Linked DNA regions of Coturnix japonica. The protein of the gene in region 1 purifies or fractionates together with the protein of each later gene. This does not show direct contact. Links are inferred from orthologs where the notes say so. Each region holds a gene or a part of one and is shown on either strand. Other genes may lie near its edges. The genes, in order: ZNF346 and KRR1.

Evidence for each region.
Region 2: the proteins of ZNF346 (region 1) and KRR1 purify together in Homo sapiens (affinity purification with mass spectrometry; 3 studies listed by BioGRID and IntAct, with this or other methods). This does not show direct contact. The link is inferred for Coturnix japonica from reciprocal best matches to the Homo sapiens genes ZNF346 and KRR1.

Annotation. Positions count from the first base shown.
Region 1 is NC_029528.1:12,082,906-12,095,139, reverse strand, and holds ZNF346 (zinc finger protein 346), read left to right. Parts: upstream 1-1,934; 5' UTR 1,935-1,949; coding exon 1,950-2,100; intron 2,101-2,196; coding exon 2,197-2,300; intron 2,301-2,720; coding exon 2,721-2,813; intron 2,814-3,624; coding exon 3,625-3,775; intron 3,776-4,560; coding exon 4,561-4,800; intron 4,801-7,156; exon of another isoform or gene 7,157-7,211; coding exon 7,212-7,305; intron 7,306-8,636; coding exon 8,637-8,742; 3' UTR 8,743-10,902; downstream 10,903-12,234.
Region 2 is NC_029516.1:34,295,193-34,307,508, reverse strand, and holds KRR1 (KRR1 small subunit processome component homolog), read left to right. Parts: upstream 1-4,592; 5' UTR 4,593-4,650; coding exon 4,651-4,714; intron 4,715-5,564; coding exon 5,565-5,743; intron 5,744-6,428; coding exon 6,429-6,563; intron 6,564-6,924; coding exon 6,925-7,050; intron 7,051-7,149; coding exon 7,150-7,233; intron 7,234-7,949; coding exon 7,950-8,006; intron 8,007-8,219; coding exon 8,220-8,390; intron 8,391-8,559; coding exon 8,560-8,637; intron 8,638-8,742; coding exon 8,743-8,836; intron 8,837-9,125; coding exon 9,126-9,268; 3' UTR 9,269-9,743; downstream 9,744-12,316. UniProt on the Homo sapiens protein: Part of the small subunit (SSU) processome, first precursor of the small eukaryotic ribosomal subunit.

The DNA.
Region 1 (12,234 bases):
CCAGAAGCGGCTGCAATCATCACTGCAGTCTCAAAACACTTGTCTATTTGGGATGGGAAAATTAAAACAAGAGCTGCTCTATAGAGAAGCTCTTGCAAAACAAAGCTGTTCTGCTCCAGCTGAGCTGAACCTTGGCTGTTGCTGGAACACCATAGTTATACTTGCTCTGCTTTTTATCTTTAGCTCCAACTGGTCTCTTTGCCCTCTGTCCAGAGAGATGAACCTCGATGCCCACCTGGTATAATAGAACTGCACCCCGTTATCAGCAGGACACACAGGGGTTTCAGTTCTGAGCCTGGGCAGGGTCGCTGCTTTGGAGATGTCAGTAGCAAAACACAGCAGCCAGCAACAAGGAACTGCAAAGCGTTTGTGTTTGAGTCCTGTTCAAATCCATGCTGCTATCACCAGCTCTCCCCTCCGCTCGATGCGCTGCGCTAAATAAGAGATCAGCTGGAGTTACCATGAGTCACCTACCTCCAACATTTAAAACTGGGGGGGGGAGAGGAAAGAAGATGTAAAAGATGTAACCACACAACTCCCACAACGCTGCCGAAAACGAGGGGAGCTGTGGCAAAGAGCCTCTGTGTGAATGTAACTAAGGGAACGAGACGAGGAGAGATCACTTGTAGCTGCGCGGGGCTGTGAGTAGGAGCAGTAACAGCTTTTATTAGCCCAGCTGATAGAGCTGAAGAAAACAAGCAGCAGAGCAGATAACAAACAAGCAGATAAGGAAGCTGTGCATAGGAGCCGCATTTTGCTTTCAGCACTTCTGCAAAGGACCAGGCTGCTTTCAGGTCCAGTGAAACAAAGCCTGAATTGGCCAAACCCACCTTTTGCCTCCCATATTTTCCCATATTTTCCAGCTTTGAGATCCAAGCTTTGAGTTTGCAAACGCTCTGGCAGTGAAGGTGACCCCCTGACAATGGCCGTTCCCCAGGCCCATGTTTAGGGATATCCTTGAAGATCCCCAGCTCGTGCTTATTTGTCATGTCCCCCCTCGTCCATCACTTTGATGAATCAGAAAGCAATTACCCACAGAATCATCCTCAATCCTGACACCGCAGCTCCAGACCTGCCAGAGCTGCGACAGCTTGAAAAATGCTTCAAAAACGGAGCCAACAAATGAATGACTCTCATTGCCGATGGGTTTTTTGGAGCCGTTTGAGATTCAGGCTGGAGTGTGGGAAACAACCACCCCCCATTTCCCCCCATTCACAGGGATGGACACGGTGCTGCCCCTCCCCCCCCCCCCCCCCCCCCCCCCCCACCGGGGGGGGCCCCCCCCCCCCCCCCCCCCCCCCCCCCCCCCCCCATATATACACACAGGGACACACAGCGGACGGGCAGCACGGGGCGGTGCGGGGCCAACAGCCGGGCCGGGCCCCGCCGGTACCGCCCCAGGGCTGAGGCCTATAGGGCTGACCGCAAGGGAAAAGGCCCCGCGGGACACGGCCGGGCCCGGGACCTGCTGGGATCTACCGGGATCCACCGGGATCTACCGGGATCTACCGGGACCCCGCACGCCGCCCCCATCCCATCCCATCCCACCCATTGCCGCCCCGCACCGCGGGTCTCTTACCCGCACTCAACTTGGCGGAGAAGGCCTCATTGCCCTCAATCAAGATGGCGGCGTCGGCGTCGCGTCACGTGGGAGGCAGGAAGGCGTGGCCGTGCGATGCGGGTGGCGCCATGTCGTGTGCGGGCGGCGCGGCCTAAAGGAGCGGGGGAGCGGAGCTGAGGCCTCCATTGGAGCCCCTCGGGTACAGCCGGGATGGATGGCTTATTTACTGCTTGAGTTCACACGGTGCAATAACATAACGGTGTCCACTAATTGAGTTGCGGTCTTCCAGCCTTGAATCAGCAGCCGTTCAAGTCCCCCCTCCCTGCTTGCAGCGATCCCGGCGACAAATGGCGGCGCCGCACAGCCCCCTACGCTGCCCTCAACAAACATGGCCGCCGCCGCTTCGCCCCACCAACACGTGCTGCACACGGCGCTCCCGCGGGAAGCCGCTCTCGCGAGAGCGACCGGGGCGGCCAAGATGGCGGACGGGGCGGGTAGCAACGGGGACGCCGCGGCGCTGCCGGTGGGGAAGGAGGCAGGTGAGGGACACGGGGCGGGGAGCGGAACCGAGGCGGCACCGGGGGAGGATGGGGCTGAGATCGGTGTGTGCTGTGTTGTTTGTGTTGTGTTGGCAGTGGAGCGGCTGATACGGGAGAACGGGCACATCTTCACCGAGGCGCAGTGCAAGGTGTGCAGCGCGCTGCTCATCTCCGAGTCACAGCGACTGGCGCATTACCAGGTGAGGGGGGGAACGGGGGGTATTAATGGGTAACAATGGGTATCTATGGGTATCAATAGGTAGCAATGGGTATTAATGGGTAACGATGGGTAACGGGGGGCAGCAATGGTATCAGTGGGCATCAATGTGTAGCAATGGGTATCAGTGGGTATTAATGGGTAGCAATGGGTATCAGTGAGTAGCAATGGGTATCAGTGAGTAGCAATGGGTATCAGTGGGTAGCAATGCATAACAATGGGTAGCAATAGGAATCAATGGGTAGCAGTGGGTATCAATGGGTAGCAATAGGTTTCAATGGGTATCTATGAGTAGCAATGGGTAGCAATGGGTATCAATTAGTAGCAGTGGGTAGCAATGGGTATCAATGGGTAGCAATAGGTTGCAATAGGTAGCAATGGGTAACGCTGTGGCTGCCCGCAGAGCAAGAAACACGCCAACAAGGTGCGGAGGTATCTCTCCATCCACGGCGAAGAGGAGCTGGCACCTGGGAAGAAGATGAAGCTGGACGCCAAGGTGAGAGGGGAGCCTGTGCTGTGTGGGTGTGGGCTCCAAGAACAGCTTTTGGGAAGGGCTCTGTGGTTAAGCCCTGTTGGTGAGTACGGCTCCTGTTGCCTTTCCCTCCTAAAGAACCACATGCTGCTTCTTTCTGAAGGGCCCTCCAAGAAGAGCAGAGAAGCAAGGAGCTGTCAGTGTTATCACAGCATGTATAACGTTTTGTTTCACTGACAGCATATCACAGGGTTCCTGCTTCACCACACTTCTCTTTAAGTCATGGGTTGTTGGGTTTTTTTTTTTGCACTTTTTTTAGTTTTATTTCATCTTCTTGGTCATTAAGGGGTTTATTCACCAGCCGTCTGCTCCATGACTCGTTTGGGAAATAGATTCTACTTCTGTCATTGCTTTGGTTGTAGTCCCTGACCCTCATAGATTTGTTGCATGGATGGAAGGGAGATGAAGGAGGTTGCCTTCATGCATTGTGAGGCCTAGCAGTGACTGCCACTGTCTGCCCAGCTGGCGTTTCTTTGCTGATGGCCCAGCTGATAGCGCTGTTTGTGCTCCTTCACTCACACCTTAGGGAGCAGGGGGCAGATTGGTTCATGCTGCCCTGCAGTTAGCCTTGTTCTGGGCTCAGAACCTGTAGTGTTTCACTAAAAGACTGAGGAAAAGAGAATCTGAAGTGGGAACACTTCTGCTGAAGGAGCGGAATGGAAGTCTTATTCAAACAACTTCACATTCAGCATCTCTGATGATTCAGTTCCTTGAATGCCTTAGAGTTCCTCGTTGTAACAAACTTTTCCTAACCTCAGCCGTTCTGTGTGCACAGGAGAGCAAGCAGGAAGGCACCAATGGGGAGGACAGGAACAAGTGTTGTCCCATCTGTAACATGACCTTTTCTTCTCCTGCTGTGGCCACATCTCACTACCTGGGGAAGACTCATGCCAAGAACTTGAAGCAACAGTCCCCTAAAGTGGAAGGTGTGTCTGTCCTGCAGTGCCTTTGTGTTGTGAAGCTCAAAGTAGGAAAATGCTGCACGTAATTACTTTCCATTGGGAGGTGCTATTGGACATATGTCATCCTTGTTACATCTGTGTGGTGTTGGCTGTGAAGCAGGGAAAGCCAGCAGCCTGCCTCCAGATCCATGGCCTTTATCAACAACGTGCTTGGTAGAATGGCTTGGCTAAATGCTCCTGCATGCAAGAAATGGGACAGAGCCCATTGCTGTGAGATTAATTTGTCAGGCCTGCTCAGCTACAGGGTTGTAGCTTCTGTGGTTCGGCGACTTCTGAGCTGCAAACAGCCGGAGGCTGGGAAGTGGGACTGTGTGCTTGCCCTGACCTCGTGCTTTGCCTCCGCTTTCTGCCACGGCCCATTCTCAAGGCAGGGTCTGGCTGTGAGGAGCCTTCAAGAAGGGAGGCTGCACACATAGTTCTGCTGTCTGCTGCTGCCCTGTGAGAGGAGCCTGCAGGTGTTTAGCTCCTCTCTGCTGTTTGTGCCCCCTGCTGGGAGTTGTCTTACCTTGTGCCTTCCAGTTCTGGAGCAATAAGGGAGGAGGTTGGAGCAACACGGATTTATCCAGAGGTCTTACATCCTCTGACTGGGTTTCTTTTTGGGGCTGTTTTATGGTTTTGGGGTTGAGTTGGGTTGGTTTCTTTGGTTGTTTAATGCATGTTTGGGGGAAATAAAATTACCTTTTTTCGTTTTTTTGTTTTTTGGGTTTTTTTTCTATTTAACTGACCAAGAGTTTGGATTCATCCTACAGAAGTGGTGCCCCCACAGAAACATCCCGCTACCCTCCCCACCTCTACTGTATCCTCTAATGAAGAGAACAAGGACATTACAGACCCAGACAAGTTCTGTAGCCTCTGCCACGCTACTTTCAACAACCCCCTTATGGCAAAACAACATTATGTAGGTAAGAAACACAGAAAGCAAGAAACCAAACACAAGCTGATGGCACGCTATGGCCGAACTCCTGACGCACCGACATCGTCCTTCCTCGGTGAGTTCACAGCAGACAGGTTGGTAAGGAGCTGGAGAGCAGGGTGGGAGAGCAGCACTGTGCATCTGACAGGACTCTGAATGAGGGGTTCTGTGTGGAGGGAGTAGGGGAGAATTGCTTGTCATGAGGATCTTGATGATGTCTCACAAGACTGATCTGGTTGGTATTGTAATGCCTTGGCAGCAGGAGAGGTTTTTAGACTGTAGCTGCTCGTGAGGAGCTTTGAGTTGTGTTTTGCAATGTTGTCTCATCAAGTACGTGTCCTTTTTATTCTCTGTGAAGATAATCCAGGGATTTTGGCCAGTGCTGTTTCCAGCTAGGTGGATTGCATCCAAAATGGAAAGATAAAAGTGGCATTTGATGCTTCAAAAATGTCTAAGGGACTAGGCAAAGATGGAAGAAATAGGTTTAACTGCACCTGCTGCTTCAAAGCACATGAAAGCCAGAGAGATTTCTCCCCGAATGCTTTCTGCCTCTGTGTGGGCACTTCATCTGATGCAACTCTCTCTGGAGCAAGCAGGAATGTGGAAAAAATTGAGCTATTAAGGAGGAACTTTAGGCAGACAGTTAACACTCATTTGGTTTATGATCTGTTCCTTTTGAGTACTTCTGTATGATGAAAGCCCTTGGAGTCCAGTGAAAGCACACACAGTGAACTCCCTTGTTCTTTCCAGCATCCTTCTGTTGGACCAGGAATTGTGTAGTACCCTGCTGGATGCTTGAAGTAAATAAGCAGACAAATCATCTTAAAATCTTCTTCAAGGGCTTCTTTCCCTGTCATAACTATGCCCATAAGCAGAAGATTAATTATTCTAATACTTTGCGGGCCACCTTTAGCTACTGGTAACACTTAAGAGAAATTAAACTCAATTATCCCAGCAATATTCTCTCCCACATTGTGTAGTCATGTGGGAGATGGAAAAGGTGATTCAAATCTTGTGTTACCCATCAGCTTTTACCTAATTAGCGGGGCCTGATCAGTGGTTCCGTTTTGTTGTGACTCAGGCTGTGGAGCCCCAGCCCAGGCTGGGAAAGTGGGCAGTGCTGTTGCCGTGTGATCGATGTGTTCTGTGCAGTGCTTACAGAGCTGGAGTATCTCCATCCACAGCTCTGTGGTGTTTAAGCTGTTCCAGGTGAGGCTGCAGAGCTGTGACATAGTGTGGAGCTGTTCTGGTGAGACAGGCTGCACTCAGGGGTGTATTTCCCTGCTCGCTTTGCTTGTCTCTCTGTGCTGACAGCCATGCCAAGCTGGCATGCCAGCACAGTTCTTCCCAGCCCAAGCTTCTTGTTTTCTCTTACTAAACTGGGCTTGAATTCTGATATATACTTTCATAAAGGCTCTGATCTCTAAACACACCATCCCTGTTGGGATCTGACCCTCAGCAGATGAAGTGTCATTCACAGCAGAGCCAAGATGCCTTTCTGCTTAAAGTTCCTCTATGAGTCTACTGTGTAGGGTGCAGGAGTGTGCCGTAAAGGACTGTGCTTCTCACTCAGTGCTTATGCTGCTCTGCACCCCTAGAGTGAGTGTCCCCTTTTCCCTTAAGGAAGTGTTTACTTTGTGAGACTCCCAGGCAGAGCCCTTCCCCAGGGAGCCGGAACCGAGGGGCATGTAGTGTCACAGGGATGTATGCCAAGACTTTCCCATTACGGGCTGCTGTGGCCAGCTCTGCTGCTTTGCTTGCTTGTTTGCTATCTATGACCCCCAGAACTTTCATTCCAGCAGTATCACTGTTGTGATACACAGAAGCACCAGTCTGCATCCTGCAGCTATTGCTGGAGACTTGCTTTTTTTTTGCAGTTAATTTGAACACTGACTGTAACTGAAGGGCTCAAGGGACAGAGTTTAATGCTCCCAATTGGCACCCTCAGCAAGGCTTAGCAGAGCGCTGCGCTGTGGAATTTGACATTCTGTATCATCTCCTTTGGCTGCTTCTTTTTTCCCCTCTTTTCTTTTTTTTTTTCTTAATTGAAACATCAAATTTACAAACGTATTATCTCCCTTGATTTGTTGTGAGGAGATGCACAGAGTGGGAGAAGTGGGACTTGGGGAGAAAAGTGGAGTTACAGAGACATTAGAACGTCAGGTTTGCTGTTCTAATTGCTAAGTTTTCACCTCATCTGATATTGTGAACTGCTTACAGGAAATGGGTGTTTGTTTTTGTAGATAACAAACCCACGTTCTGATCAGGAAAGGTTTTCTGGCCCTGTTTCCCACATACCACTAACCCAGCTCTGGTGGGATATGGGATCCCGTGACCTCCCTGCCTGGTCAGGCTATTCATTTGCTACTTGCTTTGTTGAGCAGTTGTTTAACACATCAAGTGATTGATTATCTCACTTGTTTCTACCTCAGGCACCAAGTTGTTGGCTAGCTGTGCTGTGTGTGTTAACATTGATGTCTGTTTCAGCTGGGAAGGGCTACCCCTGCAACACATGTAACATAGTACTGAACTCCATAGAGCAGTACCAAGCTCACATCAGTGGCTTCAAGCACAAGAATCAGTAAGTAACTGTATTGTTTAACTGTATCTCCAGCCTTGCTGTTCAAACTGTTTTCAATATAGCTTTAATACAGTATTGCATGTGTATTTCAAGCTGACCCTCGCAAGCAGAACAATGTGCTTTGTGCAAGCTTGTACTGTTTGCTCTGAAGCCAATTAACCAGTGTAGGTTTGCGCCCTCTCAGCCTCTTCAGCAGCTCCATCTGCAGACAGCTCAAGGATGCTGCTGTAGCAGAAGTGCCTTTCAACTGCTTTTGTGTCTTAGAGGTTCAGGTCAGCGTGGACCTCTGCAGCGAGCACGTCCATCCTGATTCTTGTTAAACAACACTTCTGTAAGAACCAGGATGTGAGCAGAAGCAAAGTGTGATGTAGTGGAGGTCCACTTGTCATTCTGGTCTCCCTTGGATCTGCTTGTTGTAAAATGTGGCACATAGTCACCACGCTCCAGAAACCTAGACTGTATTTCTGAACTCACTCTCACATCTGGTGAGTTAAACAGGAGAATCCCCTGCACGTATCGTTCGTCTTCTGCCAGGGAAATGATTAACACTGAATGTACTTACTCTGGACGCTGGCAAAGTTCAGATCTCTGATTTCAAAGCGTTACATTAAGGAGGGTTGGTAACTGACCCGGGGTGGTGAGACAGCTTAGAAGCTGGTTAGTGGGTTAGAAGAAAGAGGTATTAGGAGATACTGCCTGAAATGGTGACTGAATTTCCCAGACAGACCAAAAGGAAAACTGGAATCTTGCATTGTGTACCTGTGGAATTACAGCCCTGTTGCACTCCTGAGTATTTGCTGGGAGGGCATAAGCCCTATCTGTCTCTTTGTGAAGGCCAACTCTCAAACAGCACGGCAGGGTCAGTGGATGGCAGACATTGAGCCTGAATTTATCCCGTTCTAGAAAGATAACACTGAAGGCATTCCCAGCACACATGCGTAACTGTTCACTTTAAGGCCATGGATGTTGTTCCAGCTTTTTCAGCCAAATAATTCCCTTTCAGAAAGCTGCTTCTGGATTTAGCTGCTAAGTCCTGTTCCAGACCAGCTTCTGCAGTCTGAAAGGAGCCAGGATACTTGCTTTGTAGTGGAAGCTCTTCACGGTCCTTGAGCTAAGCAATAGCTAATTCTGCCATACTAAAGGTGTCTGTTTACACACACACACACAGAGGATAAGAATCCACTTGGAAGCTTTTCTGGCAAGTTGTTGACTTATCTATAGCAGCCTGTTACTCTGCTGGCAGCCGTGTTTTCTGAGCACTGATTGCAGCTGACAGATTTCAGAGCCATTCTGACACTGTTTCTCTTCCTCTTTCTCCCTCCCATGTCCAGGATGCCGGGAGCGGTGCCGGTTGTGGGACCATTCCCACCACAGCAGTATGTCCGGGAAGAAACAACTGCTCCAGGAGGCTACAGTTACTTCAGCCAAGACTTCTAGAGCGAGTTGCAGCACCGTTCTTGGAGTTGTTGGTGGCCCAAGAACACACATCCTTTGCCAGCCCACAATGGTTTCATTATCCCTCTGGATAAGCAAAGCCCTACTCTCCTGTATGCACTCGTTGAGCAGAACAGGGACTGAATCTGTCCAAAAAAGGATCCAGCTGAAAGAGACTTGGTAGACAGCAAATACTTCACTCCCTTAGAGTAGTTTTCATTGTGTAATTGCTTCCTGTAAAGGTGGGTGCAGTGTGAGAGGTGTGTATCTGGTGTAAGGAGAGTCTGGCAACAGGCTGGTAACATCTACCTCCTCCCTCACCAGAGCAAATAGTGGATTTCTGCACCTGGAGGCCAGCAGCCCGTGCTTAGAGGTGTCTTTAGCTGGAGGAGATCTCCTAATCCATAGCAAGCAGCATTTATGCAGTGTGAATGGGACGCCGTGTGGGTTGCCTGGCTTTTTACAGAACTAACATAGGAAATGGCAGCATGGCACCTCTTGTGGTGATTCCCCTGGGCAGGTTTGTGTGCAGAATTCCTTGAGCCGCTGGTTGCTGTCAGAGCCTTTCTCAGTGCTGCAGTTGAGGAGCTGTGTCGTTTGGTGTCTAACAAGTAGTCGTGGTTTTATGGTGTACATACAGTGCTGCTGGTGGGAGCGTTGGGCTGATGGAGGACTTGGAGCTCGTGGCTCTCCAGGCAGCTCAGCCCTTCACTCTGAGCATTGCCACGTGGGAGGAAGAAACAGTTTAGCCTGGTTTCCTATGGAAACAGGTGTATGTGATCATTCACTGTGTGTGTCTTTACCCTTCATAACTTCAACCAGTCTCAGCCAAACTTGGCAGTGGTGGAAATCTCCGAGACCTGAATGCAGTCAGCAGAGGAAGGTGAGCAGGAAGGGTCCATCTCGGGTTCTGTCAGTCTGTGTGTAAGTGCAGCGTTTTCCCTCCTGCCAGCAAAATGCTGATAGAGGAGGAGAGTTTTAAAGGGAAACAAGAATAGAGATGAGTTTAGAAATAACAGGATAGTGCAGTGTAGGTTGGTTGAATTGTTTGCTGGCTGGAAACCTCCAAGTCTTACTTAGTCCTTCATTAGGCACTACTTGCCCAACCCCTCTCCTCAAAGTTCTTACACATTTGTACCATCACGGAGATGTTCTGTCTTTCAAAACCAGAAATTAAGACAGATGGTCTCTTCGTGGTGTTAATGCACTGGGTCTGTTCAAAGAGCTCCCAGAAGGAAGGGGGGGATCTGAGGCTGTTGTGCATTTAGGAGGAGTCCTTCAGATGTTCCGCCCTTGAGCGAGGGCAGTGCTGTTCTTTGCTGGGCCACCGCAGGGGCCGTGTTGTCGGGCTGGCCTTGTGCTCAGCGCCACTGCTCCATGTTGGGCACCACATGGCTTTGTCCCTGTCCCAGCTGTGGAGCTGGAGGACGAGGACCTGCCTGGCTGACAGGAGTGGAGGTGATGGACGTGCAGAGCAGAGCTGCTGCCTCCCACTGCTGCAGCAGCTGCTGGAGGGCACTGTGGGGCCCTGCACTGCCGGTGCTGCGTTCCAGGCTGAGCAGCTGCCGCCTTTGCGAGGCTGAGAGCCAGGCTGGGGGGGCACCTCCAAAACCCTGCGGGTGCTGATCAGGTTAAGCAATGGGAGAGAGCTGGTTGCTGATCTCTGCACTTGGAGTGAGTGCCTTCCTCCCCCTACCCCCAGCTCAAGGTTGTGCACAAGCTTTGTTTGCCTTCACCCTGTACAGGATCTGCCATCTCCCCTTAGGACAGGCTACTGCTGGGCTGGGTTCGCCTTTCTGATGTTTTCCAGTCTTGTTCTACGTCTGAGGGCTGACCTCAGCCTCCTGCTTGAGAGGGAGTCCTGTTAAACCAAGCGAGCTGATCAACCAGCAGAAAATTGCAGTGAAGTAAAGGCAGCATTGTGTGCCTGGTGCTGCTGGATGGCCTCCAGCTCCCATCTCCACTGCTTCGCTCTCGTCTCGCTGCACGAGGGCAGGTGTCTGCTAGATGTGCATTGACACCAGGAGGGATCCATTTCCAGCACTGCCCAGTCTGGTGTGTCACTCCACTGTGTACCGACAGTTCTGCCTTCCTCTGTACATGATGTTTATGTATCTGCTGTTTCCCTAAGGTGAAGCTCTCCGAATAGAGTGTTTATTACTACTTCTGGGTGCTGCCTCTTTACTACAGCCATTCCTGGGTTTCTGCCATCCTTCAAAGCAAAGCAGAGAGGATACGGACCCCTCTGACTTGTTTGGGAGGGATGGGAGGTTTGTGTTCCCATCTGCTCTCCCCGGGCACCCTGAGATCCGGACGGAGCCGCCAAGTGCCTTCACTGTGCTCCTCTGCCACATCTGCGTGGCCTGGGGCGCACAACGTCACCAAGGGGAAGGCAGGACAGTCTGCACCCACAGAGCGCTGGCACTTCTATGTGCTGTTGTGCTGCTTGTGCTGAAAACATCCATCACAGCCACGGGGCAATGGACCATTTCCTGGCAGCGTGGGAGCAGAGCGATGGTGCACAGCCACTGCTCTGTCTGCACCACGCCTCACTGGGGCAGGATGTGCTCCCAGCACAGCCTAGATGGTACCCAGCAGTGGTGCCCCATTGCCCAGCTGCAGGCTGTGCCTTGTCCAGGCTATGTCCTGCTGCCAGGGCCAGCTGGCACGCTCCAGCCCTCACTTATCCTGGGCACCCTCAGTGTGATGCCAAGGGAGCTGTGACCCAGCAGTGGGGCAGTGTGCTGGGGGAGGCTGAGCACACTATGGCCCTTTAATCCCACAGCGGTGCCTCCTGTCCCTGCCTGGAGCCCTGCGGGCAGCACCTGGCTGTGCCGGGGCTGCGGCTGCCATGGCCAAACCCCAGCGCCTTCCGTGCTGGCAGCGAGCACAGGGTGTGGAGCCACCACGGCCACATCCCCATGGGAGTGCCGCCATCCCCTGCCCTTCCATAGCCAGCTCTGCAGAGCCTGCCCAGCTGAGCCCCAGCACGGCGCTGGGAGCCCCTCGGCTGGGGAGGAGCTCAGCCCCATCTGCAGCTCTAACCACTGCCCTCCCTCGTGGCCCCGCTGTCTCCAGCAAGTAAATCGGGTGCAGATGTAGGGCAGGGTGCCTGCTTGCCATTAGGGTTTGGGAACACAGGGGTGGCCCGGCTCTTGCCTTGCAGCACCCTGCTGCTCCCAGAGTATTGCTCAGCACATGGGGTGTGCGGCACCCTGGGTGGCAGCACCCCTACAGCCTGTTCCTGAGTGTGGCATGGCTGTCCCCAGGGGGCTGCGATGGGGATGGGCATCTCACTGCTCATGCTGTGCTGCAGGATGCTGCTCCCTGCTTGCCTTGGAAGGAGCACAGTGCCTGCTGATGGGGGCTTGGCTGGGGCTCCGTATCCATCACACAGCAGCCCCTGTGCCAGGCCCTGTATTCTCACCTCCACAGAGGGAACAACAGGATTGTGTTTGCCAAGTGGTGCCTGGTTAAACCTTAACCTGGCTGGGT
Region 2 (12,316 bases), on another chromosome or scaffold:
TCGTGGAAATAAGAGAGAATTAGTACCAGCTGCAAAATGCATTCACTGGATAGTGAAACTGGCAGTTGGTATTATGCCTGCTATAAATATTTTTAATTAAAAATTGTTTTCTGTCTCTTCAATTGGTATAATAGCGATGATGCTTACTGAGAGTTACTGAAGATGTAATAGGATTCCCCTTCGTGTATAGCGGAGCTATTTATTCTGCTGTAATTTTGCTATAGTGGAAATCTGCATAATAATGCTTGGATACTAGTACAAGAGAAAAATAGACCGAGGGAGTATTTTATCAGCACAGTTCAGAATAACACACACCGGCACTACTGTGCATTCCTAAAAATCCGCAATGCTCAAAGCCTGGCTGCTCAGGTACAATGTGAATATTATTTTAATCACATATTTTGGAGGGATTCAGGAATGTATTTCCTGACCACTCTCAGCTGCACACTCTCTGTATGTATCTCAGGTCCTGGCACAGTTTCTGTTGTGTGTTGTTTGCTTTCTGACAACCCCCAGACGCTCAAGTCAAGAAAAAAGCCCCGTCCCGTCCATCACTGTACGATGCATGATTAGACACATCCCCTGCTCCAAAGACCTTTTGATTTAAGCCTGCTGCTTTGATTTCATAATGACACTGAGTTCCTTTTCCCATTTGGCTCCATCCCTTTCTTAGTGACAGCAGTTTTATTGCGGCAAGGCTTTCCCCAGACAAAGCTGTCATCCTTTCTGTCTGTTGCTTTTTTCTTCTTATTCTGGGCTCTTCCTTCTGCCTCAAATTATCTTTGCTATGGTTTTCCAGTGAATCCTTTCAGATGATCTCATGATTCATGGTCCTCTCTTGTTCCAGCTCCTTGTTCCTCTTTAGGGTAAGCATGTGCTTGCCTTTCTGCTCTCTTTCAAAGGGGAGCCCTCAGTCTCCTAGAGTCAGCTGAGCTGAATTTAAATGGTTGCCTTTAACCATTTAACCTCTTTCCTTACCTCTCCATGCCTAGCCTTGGAAGTACTACATCTGAAAACTCTGCTCTTGAATCAGTGATACACCTCTCATTTCTCATAAAATCTCCCCCCTGGCTTTTCAGCCTTGCACTATTAGTAGATAGCTGATGGTGTGAGTGCTTGCTCTTTTTTCTCCTTTAACCCAACTAGCAGGAAGGTTTGCAGTTATATCTCCATCCTGAACCTGTGGCAAGGTATGGATTTGCTACCTGGTGAAAAGAGAGCCCAGAACTGAGAATTTGTTTATGACCCTGTGATGATACACTAAGTCTCATTCTCTCTTCAGAAAGTTGTGTTTTCCTCCTACTTCCTGCTTGCCACCTGTGACAACCTCCCCCTCCTCAGGCTCCCTGCAGTTGGCAGCAGCACCACACCAGCATTGTTTGCATTGGGTACCGTTACTTTTATCTGTCAGCACCTCTGCAGATTGCTGCACTCAGCAGTGAAGTCAAGAATAAAACAGAACCAGAAAAGTGCTACACCTCTGCTAGAGAGAGAAATGAAGAGGAAAGAGAAATCAAGAGCAAAGCCATGTCAGCCTTGGTCGTGTTAGGAGGACGGGGCTTTTTTGGAGGTAGCTGGGCAGAGGAGCTCTCTGCTTGGTTATTTTTATTCTGTCAGGCTGCCTCTGAGTGTTGGGTCAGTTGGTGCCATAACTTTACTTAAATAATGGAGGACTTTTATATGAACATGAGAAGGCCAACACATTCTCAACCATTTTTTATCCAGTTTGAATTATATTTTGATCACTTGAGGTGTTTTGCATGAGAGACTCTCACTTGCCCATGTGGCTGTTTCCTGACCTGCCATAAATGAAAAGAATTAAGAATATCCTGAGCTAAGACAGATTTGAGATACAATTCTCCAGTTATTTGAATCAAAAGGCAGTATCGATTATTTAATTACATAGAAAAGATGCAGGTGCTGAGCATTTACTACAGATTAATGACTGCCCCAGAGCAGTTAATGGTTCTTCTCACTGCCATCAACACAAGCTGCTTATTAATCCCTGGAAAATGGCTTGCATAACAATCATAACCTGCTGTTAAAAGTTTATAAATAGATAAAAGTGTCACATGGATTTACGAGTGCTGGGGCTGAATGGGATCTGCACAGCATTTCTAGTGAATGAATGCCATGTGCATGAGCTCATCTGATTGCCTGAATTATCACAAAATCCCAAGTTGCTCTTTTGGATTTGAAAATGGCACGTAAGAAAGTGCCAAGTGGCTGGAGTCCTATCTACTGACTGGGAAATAATTACTTTGCTGCATAATAGAGGCACCTTCAGCCTAACGGCAGCACTCTGCCCATTTTATCATACAGCCTGAAGTGCATTCAGGGGAAGCTGTGTGACTGTGCTGTTTCATTGTCTGCTTTGCTTCTAACAGGGAAGCAGTGAGCGCACATAGACACACACACAGAGTTGGTTTGGGTTCCACCAGGGCCCAGCAACTGGATCAGCAGATGTAGGGGTCTTGGAGGCTGTGTTATTATTATTATTATTATTAGGATCTGTGTTATTCAGCCAAAAGACTTCAAAGGAGCCTTCTGCACACAGGTCTGCCATCACACAAAGGGAATGTGATACATGTTCCTTACTGTAGGGAAGCTGCTTCAGCAGAGCCTTGGACTTGATAATCTCTAGAGGTAGGATCCAATCCCTACAGTTCTGTGAGATTAGTTCTCCTGCTTTAAGAAAACACGTTGCCCCATCACAGTCTGGTACAGCACTGCTGGATCTCCCTGCAGCAACCTCCATCTCCCTGTACCCTCAGCAGTCCCCAGCCCCAGACAGCTGTCCCACCTCCCAGTCTGTCACTGCCAGACATGCTGGGGCTGGCCATTGCATCTGAGCAGTGTCTGACAAAAGTGATATAAATCTGTCATCGTCTGAACCCAAGTGGGCTGACTGGAGGAGGACAAGGGTCTATGGGAGCACCTGGTCTGTGACAGGAATTAGGGAGGCGGCTTCCTTGTATTCAGCTCCTCTGCAAAACCTGAGATAAGAGGAAAGCTGAGAAGTCACTGTCTCCACCAGGAGCAGGATGGATGACATGAGGGGCCTTCCCGAGTCACATCATCCAAGTCTGATGGTGTTGTCTCTTCATTTGAGACTAGATTTTCTTCCCTGTACCGTGATATACTTTCATCCTCACATTGCATGTGGGCTGATCTCACCTGGAGATAAAATAAGGAAAATATCTTGTCTGCATCTTAATATTCCTGTACGCAAAATAGCTCAGTAGTCACGTTCATGGGTTTCAGTCTGGTTTTGAAAGGAATTGGAGACCCTGTGGATGGAAGTGGGCATAGATGGGTCAATGATTGGACTGGGTGATATTAGTAGTTTTTTTCCAACCTTAATGCTTCTACAATTCCATGAGCAGGAGTAGAGGGGTTGGATCTATGGTTGGGCTTGATGGTCTTTGAGGTCTTTTCCAACCTTCACGATTCTCTGGTTCTATGATTCTATGAGGGCGGTGTAGTGAATGCCAAGTGCTCTATCAACACAGGATCATAAACTCCCTGTTTAGTGCTCATGGTTGCAGGGGAGCCAGTTGCAATATCAGAGCCTTTCTGCCATGCACGTATGCTCTTTCCAAACAGTTTTGTTGCACTTAATTATGGCATAATTAAAGCAGAACAACAGCGCCATTTCCTTGGAGACAGACGTCCCTGGAGCGTGCCTGCAATGTGGAGAAGATCCAGGTGCATCTCACCAGACACTTCTGAGCCGCACTCTGTCCGCTCTCATTGCCAGGGCAGCGCAGGGGGATCCATTGCTCCTCGGGCACCGAGGCTCGCTGGGGCTGCTCCTTTTGTCGCGGCGGTCAGTGCCACCCAGCGGGTAAAGGCAGCAGTGCAGCACAATGGAAGGTCTTTGGGTGTCAATACTGAGTTTTGGATATTTTACACATGTGTATAGTGGATACTAGGGAGAGCTGTTGGAGGGGGTCCAGAGGAGGGCAGCGAAGATGATCAAAGGGCTGGAGCATCTCTTATGAAGAAATGTTGTGGGAGTTGGGCTTGTTCAGCCTGAAGAAAAGGCTCCGGGGAGACCTCATTGCAGATTGCCAGTATTTGAAGGGAGCTTAAAAGCTGAAGGAGGACCGAATTTTTACAGTTTGATAGTGATAGGAAAAGGAGAATAGCTTGAAACTAAAAGAGGGAAAAATGAATGTGGATATTACAAGGAATTAATTGCAAGGACAGAACTAGAGGGAATGGTTTTAAGCTGCGCTGTTGGAATTGGATGACCTTTATGGTCACTTCCAACTTAAGGCATTCAGTGATTCTATGATGATCACACAGAATCACAGAATAACCCGGGTTGGAAGGGACCTCAAGGATCATGTAGTTCCAACCCCCCTGCCTGGCAGGGCCACCAAACATACACCTTTACTAGATCAGGTTGCCCAGGGCCCTGATAATTAAACAACTCACAGGGCGGGCTTTTATGAGCAGGTCTGATGATAAACCCGCCTCCATAAGCCTGGCACCGCTCTCTAGGCTGCCCCAGGGGCTCGCAAACCCCCATAGGCCTCAGCCTTGGTCTCGCCCTGTCAGCCTGTAGGACTCCAGCTCCCGGCATGCCGCGATGCCCCGGTTCCGCTTCCGGTGTCGGGCGGAAGTTGTGTGAGCACAGTAAGCATGGCGGCTCCTGAGGCGGAGGGGGAGAAAGCGCGGCGTCCCGGCAAGAAGAAAGCGGCCAAAGGTGGGTGCGGGGCCTCGGGGCTGCTGCCCGCCGGGATTATCCTTCTCTTGTGCTGAGGGAAAGGCAGTAACTTCCGTAAGGAAAGCAAATGGGATCCTGGGCTCCATCAGGAGAGGGGTGGTCAGCAGGGATAGGGAGGTGATTGTCCCTCTCTACTCTGCTCTTGTGAGGCCCCATCTGTTGTACTGTGTCCAGGTGTGGAGCCCTCAGTACAAAAAAGACATGGAGATTTTGGAAAGGGTCCAGAGGAGGGACAGGAAGATGATCAGGGGGCTGGAGCACCTCCCCTATGAGGACAGGCTGAGGGAGTTGGGTTTGTTCAGCCTTGAGAAGAGAAGGTTGCGGGGTGACCTCATTGCAGCCTTTCAATACCTGAAGGGAACTTACTCCCAGGAGGGGAGTAAACTCTTCGAAAGGGCTGATAATAGCAGGACTAGGGGAAATGGTTTTAAGTTAAAAGAGGGAAGATTTAGGTTGGATGTTAGGGGGAAGTTCTTCACTAGGAGAGTGGTTAGGTCCTGGAACAGGCTGCCCAGGGAGGTTGTGGATGCCCCGTCCTTGGAGGTGTTCAAGACCAGGTTGGACGGGGCCCTGGGCAACCTGATCTAGTAAAGGTGTATGTTTGGTGGCCCTGCCAGGCAGGGGGGTTGGAACTACATGATCCTTGAGGTCCCTTCCAACCTGGGTCATTCTGTGATTCTGTAAGGAGAGATGCAGAATGACTCCAACAGAGCGTTGAACGCAGCACCTGCTGTGTGCCTGCGTTCTGTTATCTCTAGTTCTGTATTTAGATGGGGAGCAGATGGAATAGCTCAGATGGAGAAACGAACTGTCGTCTTTTAATCCATAGCAGTCGATGAGTCCGAACTGCTCACTGTGCCGGATGGATGGAAGGAACCAGCGTTTACCAGGGAGGACAATCCCAGAGGGCTGCTGGAGGAAAGCAGCTTTGCAACGTTATTCCCCAAGTACAGAGAAGCCTATTTGAAGGAGTGCTGGCCGCTTGTCCAGAAGGCCCTGAGTGAGCATGTATGAGTTCTTACTGTTGTGATGTGCTGCTCTGTTATTTGGGACATACAGGTGTTACTTTGGCATAAAAGCTTGCTCCAGTAACAGGTGTTGGAAAGAGTCCAGCGGAGGGCCACTAAGATGGTGAAGGGCCTGGAGCATCTCCCCTATGAGGAGAGACTTATGGAACTGGGTCTGTTTAGCCTTGAAAAAAGAAGGCTGAGAGGGGACTTGATCCAGGTTTATAAATACCTGAGGTGTGGGAGCCATAGTGGTGAGGCTGGTCTCTTTTCAGTAGTGTGTGGGGACAGGACTAGGGGTAATGGGATGAAAGTACAGCATAGGAAGTTCCGCACAAATGTGCACAAGAACTTCTTTACAGTGAGGATGACGGAGCACTGGAACAGGCTGCCCTGGGAGGTGGTGGAATCTCCTTCTCTGGAGATATTCAAGACCCACCTGGACACCTACCTGTGTGACGTGGTGTAGGGATCCTGCTTTGGCAGGGGGGTTGGACTCGATGATCTCTAGAGGTCCCTTCCAACCCCTACAGTTCTGTGATTCTGTGATTCTTTCTGTGTTGTTGTCCACAATCTGCTAACTTGAAAGGAGATGAGGAGATTTCATCTTAACCTCATGCTACCAGAAATGTAATCTTAGATTTCTAATTAAAGATTGCTTTGCTGTTTATTTGCACACATTGCAGTATGTGAATGCAACGCTGGATCTAATTGAAGGAAGCATGACGGTCACGACTACTAAGAAGACTTTTGATCCGTATGCGATCATCAGGGCTAGAGATTTAATAAAACTTCTGGCAAGAAGCGTTCCATTTGAACAGGTTTGTAGCCAATAATGTTGTAATGCTTATAAAGTTGTATGCTTTCAAAATATGGGTTTTTCAGGTAGTAGTGAAGTGCTGGAACAGGTCACCCAGGGAGGTATGTATCTACTCATCCCAGGAGATTCTTAAGGTCAGGCTGGATGGGGCTCTGAGCAACTTGATCTGCCTGTAGGTGTCTCTGTTCATTGCAAAGAACTGGACTAGATGACCTTTGAAGGTCCCTCCAATTCAAGTGATTCTATAATTATATGAAAATATATATTTAAAACAAACGTATCTGCAACTGAAATGAGTCTTTTGGCTCTTGTGAATGTTACTTTTGGATTCAGATGTTAATACCTGCTGCTTTTATCTTCAGGCAGTTCGTATTCTTCAGGACGATGTTGCGTGTGACATCATTAAAATCGGTTCCCTAGTGAGGAACAGAGAAAGTTTTGTAAAAAGAAGAGGACGACTTCTTGGGCCCAAAGGATCTACTCTGAAGGTATTCCTCATAAGTGTATTACCATAAAAAATCTTAAACACAAGGTCTGCGTGTCAGACCTTCAGCTGACACTATCTTTATTCATTTTTGTTGTTCTAGGCCCTGGAGCTGTTAACCAACTGTTATATTATGGTTCAAGGCAACACTGTTTCAGCTCTTGGACCTTTCAGTGGGCTAAAAGAGGTAAGGGAAGGCAGATGAGCAGTTTATGTAGCTCACTTTTGTGCCTAGCTGTGGCGTGGAGTACAGGCGGAGTCTGGTAGCCTCAAGAGTTACTCCACTGTCCTTTCAGTAACATGTTATTAAGCTACTTTTATGTGAATTCCTATAGGCTTAGCTCCTGAATTTTGTTAGCTGCTGAGATCTTTCCGCCTTGAAACTAAAAGTATTTTTTGTGGTTTTTTTTTTAAGGTAAGGCTTAGTAAAGATATCAAAGGGGCACCTTCATGTATTTCTGAATAGTGTGTCTAGTCCTGCCCCTTGGGCTTTTATTTCTGTAGCTTACAGTGCAGAATTTCTGTAGTTTCAGTTAAGAGGTTTGAGTGAAAACATCGCAGTGTTAATGTGATATAGCATGGATTAACATCTAGTATATTCTTAGTAATTCTAGAGGGAATAATAGATGTCAAAAGCTAAAACACAACATAACATCCATGATGGCATGAAAGTAGTGGTTGTTGTGATGCTGCAGTGTATCAGAAGCATGACAGTATAGCTAACGATATTTTTGAAGCACTGTGCCTTCTAATTGGCTTTGTAGTTTTTTTAGCCTATCTGCTCTTAGTTTTGGGGTGAGAAATGTTCTGATTTTGAAGAAACTTAGGGACCTTGATATTTTAATTGATTAGAGTATGAAGTACCTGCTGAGTGTTCCATTCATTTTCTTTTATTAAATACAGGTTAGGAAGGTTGTTCTGGACACAATGAAGAATATACATCCCATATATAACATTAAGGTTGGTGTGCACCTTTGAAAGCATTAAGTCTTTGTACACAGCTTTATGTTAATAATTCTATGTTTCAGTGTGTGCTATACGAATATATATAAATGTATATGTGTAAACTGTGCTATAAGAACCTTTGATAAAACTTTTAGTTTGGAGCTCTTAGATACTACTGCAATACTATTGTTTTATTAACTTCTTTGTGATGTTCTAAAACTACCAAAGACTTTGATGATCAAACGTGAATTATCAAAAGATCCTGAACTGAGGACACAGAATTGGGAAAGATTTTTGCCTAAGTTCAAGAAGAAGAACTTGAAAAAACGCAAGGAGCCAAAGAAGAAAAATGTTAAGAAGGAGTACACACCATTCCCACCTCCACAGCCAGAAAGCCAGGTCAGCTGAAACTTTATTTGGTTGTGCAGGAGTATATGGTGGTTTTAAATCCTGCTCTCGTTAAGATGAAGTTAACGGGCCCTTTCTGTCATGTTTTTGTTTCCTGATATTATATATCTTGCTTGTAATGTGTAATTGTCTAAAGCTTCTTGGTAATTTTCTTGTATAGATTGATAAAGAATTGGCAAGTGGTGAATACTTCTTGAAAGAAAGCCAGAAGAAACGAAAGCGAGTGGAAGAAATAAAGGTAAATTTGTTACAACCAGTTAAAAAGTGCTTCATTTCTGACTTTGGTTTTTTTCCCTTTTGCCCGGCTCTGTTGGTACTTCATACTTGTCATTGTTAACTGTAGGCAAAGCAAGCTGATGCAGTCAAGAAAAGACAAGAAGAAAGAAATAAAGCTTTTATCCCACCAAAGGAAAAGCCAGCTGTGAAAGCAAAGAAAGGTAAGTTGTTTTTTTTTCCCCCATTCTAAACCCTACTAGTTAATTCTCCACATAATTACTTTGTGTAAGATGTAGCCATTTGAATTCCGTTGAAAGATTTGTGTATCATGCTAGATTAAGTAAAAATGATTGGAATAGTTTATAAAATCATTAGTGAACATAAAATGAATCCTAACTAATGCTACGGGATGCAGTTTAATGTGGATACACATGAAGTAATCTCACAGGCTGTGGAAAAATAAGAGAAGTAAACCTTGTGTCTCTCTGTGCTCGTGTTTTTACTGTGTAGCTTCTACTGAGAAAAAAATTGATATTGAAGCCATCAAGGAGAAAGTAAAGAACGCAAAGAAGAAGAAATTAGGAGCGCTTCCTATGGAAGAAGTCAAGTTAAAAATGGCAGCAGATGAAAAGAAGAAAAAAAGGAAGAAGTAATTCACTGCTCATTCTGCTCAATTTTCTCCTACAATAATGAATGTTCTCACACTTGGAAAAACCAAGACTTGGAGGAAACTTCTTGCTGTCAATGTAGTGTGGATGAGAAATTACTAGGCAGAAAGATGGTTCTCTTTTCACAAGCCCATTTTAACAAATGGACCTGGAGCAGCTATGCAGAATTGTCAAAGTTGGTGAACAAAATCTGCTCTCTCATACCTTTTGAGTACATTTGGATAACACCTGTCTGCTTCGAGGACATTTCATATTAGAAACATTTAGAAGTTTGATGCAGAATGTGAAAGGGTAAAGGTTGGAGAACTCAGTGGGAGTTAAATGGAAATCTTCTATGAAAGACTACCAAAGAACTGTCAAGATGGGCAAGATTTATTACTTTTATTATGCTTTTACTTCTGTAAAAGCAGGGGGTTTTTTGTGTGTCTTGTCTTGATGTCAATAAACTGTTTTAATATATTGTCTTTAAATCCTTTAATTATTCACCTACTGCAAAACCCACATCTTGTATCCCTAGAAGCAACTCACAGCTTCGTGTGAGGATTAGACAACCATAATCTTAATTGAACACCATTAATAAATGGTCATTTATTAGCGTTATCTTGTTAGGCAGAATATGACACAAAGCAAATGTGCTGCAGGGAGAACATAAATGGTACCATTCTTTACATGTGTTCTTAATTTATTTCTTACAAGAAATGAGAACTTAGGTTCCTTTTAAACTTTAGGTTTCCTTTATTCAGCCCCTTCCCCTTTTTTTGAAGGAAGTATAGAGGTTATTTCCTAAAAGTGGAAATTATGATGAAATTGAGTACACTAGAAAAGCAGATGTTACTAAGTTGATGCATCTCAGGTTCGAGAAACAAATGTAATAGTAAGTAGGTGGTCGGGCCACACCAATTTCATGACTGTGTTTGAGTGCTTTACCAGACTTTAGAGTTCTGATTGCTTGCACATATGGTAAAGACGATTATGCTGGAACACTGCAGCTCACTTTGCTTAGGTTAGTGGCCTTTTATTTGAAACTGGTGTGAGAACACAGCTGTTTTCTTTGTTATGCGTCTAAATAAGAATTTAGAACATATGTTAAAGAGTCAGTGTGTGTGTGTGCATAGAGAATCATCTAGGACCTCTGCCCTTTAGGGTTGGGGACAATCTTGGTATGACTTTCAGTTACCTGGTCTGTTCTTGGAGTTTAGTTCTTGAAGAGGAAACACAGAATCACAGAATTGTAGGGGTTGGAAGGGACCTCTAGAGATCATCGAGTCCAACCCCCCTGCCAAAGCAGGCTCCCTACACCACGTCACACAGGTAGGCGTCCAGGCGGGTCTTAAATATCTCCAGAGAAGGAGACTCCACCACCTCCCAGGGCAGCCTGTTCCAGTGCTCAATACTCTGTCATTCATAAATGGCAGTTTAATTACTTATCATGTGAGAAAGTACTGCTCAACAGATGCTTCACTGAGAAAACAAGTAAACTGCACACCCATCACAGAAGCTGTAGTAAGCCGATACGTTTAGGGATACCAGCCCCATGATAAGCTCTTAGACACAGTACTTGATAGGTAGTGGTTGATGGCATGACAGGGAGACCTGAGTTCAGTGTCAGGTGGGTTAGATCTCTCAAGGGCTTGGGCTGTTCCCAGAGACACTGCAATAGTTTGGTTCTCGGTGTGATCCCACAAGTGAGTACTTCAACAGAGTAATTTGCAGAGCCTGAAGCCAGTAAGGAGGAGCTGAACTGGATCCAGGGGAGGTACAAGGAGAGAGTGTCCTCTGTTATATTACGGTCTGGATGAGACCTTTTCAATGCAGAGGGTCCCTGCAGCAAATTTCTGTTTGCTAAAATTTAGATCTTGTTCCATACACGTTAAAATACACGTGTGTGCTTCTGTGGAAGCGTGCATTTTGAATTTAAGTTCCCCAGCTGAGATCTCTACATAGATTTGGCATCAAAGCCCAAACCACAGTAGGACTTACTTGATTTCAGGGAGTCTTATCCTTTTGTCATGAGATGAAGGGGTTCTGTTTAATCTTCTTGGGTTGTTCTGGTTGCTGAGCTTCAAGGACTGTTGGTTAGGCATATATTTTCTTAAATGAGAAAATCTAGCAATGCTCTTCGTTCATAGCCAGAAGACAAACCAAGGCAAAGAAGTACCTCATGGCTGTTTTTATATCTGTATTTTGCAATTATCGTGCAGAAGTCATGGGCGTATGCCATAAAAACAACGTGAACAACTTGAGGGGTTTAATCATCAGGAGTTAAATATCTGGATTTTGAGTGTCCTTAACAAAAAAAAGAGATGCATTTCTTGCTTTGCTTTGTCTCCTTGACTTTCTGGATTTTTTTGTTTGGAAGTTGCCACGCAGTAAAATTTGCTGGTTGTTTTTTTTTCCCCATGAACCCCAGTGATTTACAGGTTTTTTAATGAAGCTTTCTCTGTGGAATTCCCTTTGAGCCGCTAAGGTATGAAGTTCAGTAACAGCACTATGAATGTTTTGAACTTTAAGGTCTCTGTGTTGGTTCTGTTTACTCTCCTGGAAACCAAGTATAGATTAAACTTAGCAGGGGAGCATTCCTGCTGAGCTCGTTTTGCTCCCCAGACACAGCATAGTATGTACTTTCCTTTCCTCCACTTTGCCTTGCATCAGTAGGATCTTTCTGCACATGGGGCAGATGCTGGCCTAAGAGCCCTTCTCTGCAAGAGGTATCATCCTTGTGGGATTTCCAGATGGAACTTTGCAGTACAGGAAGCGTGAGGCTTGAGTGGTGCTCAAAAGAGTGTAGCAAAAAGGCAAATGGAAGTGAAAGTGGCTGCCCTTTTCAGCAGGTAAACCCGTGATCTTGTATCTGCTGTGAGGATTTGGGTTTTTTTTTTAAACAGAATTATCTCTTTTTAGGTAGGCCAATGTGGCTGCTGTGACACTGCTCACTGGATGGCAGAGAAGAGGCCCTGGCACAAAACAAAAAGATAAGTGAAGGACAAGAAGGAGAACTAGGAATTCTGCCCCTGACCACATTTACATCTTGAA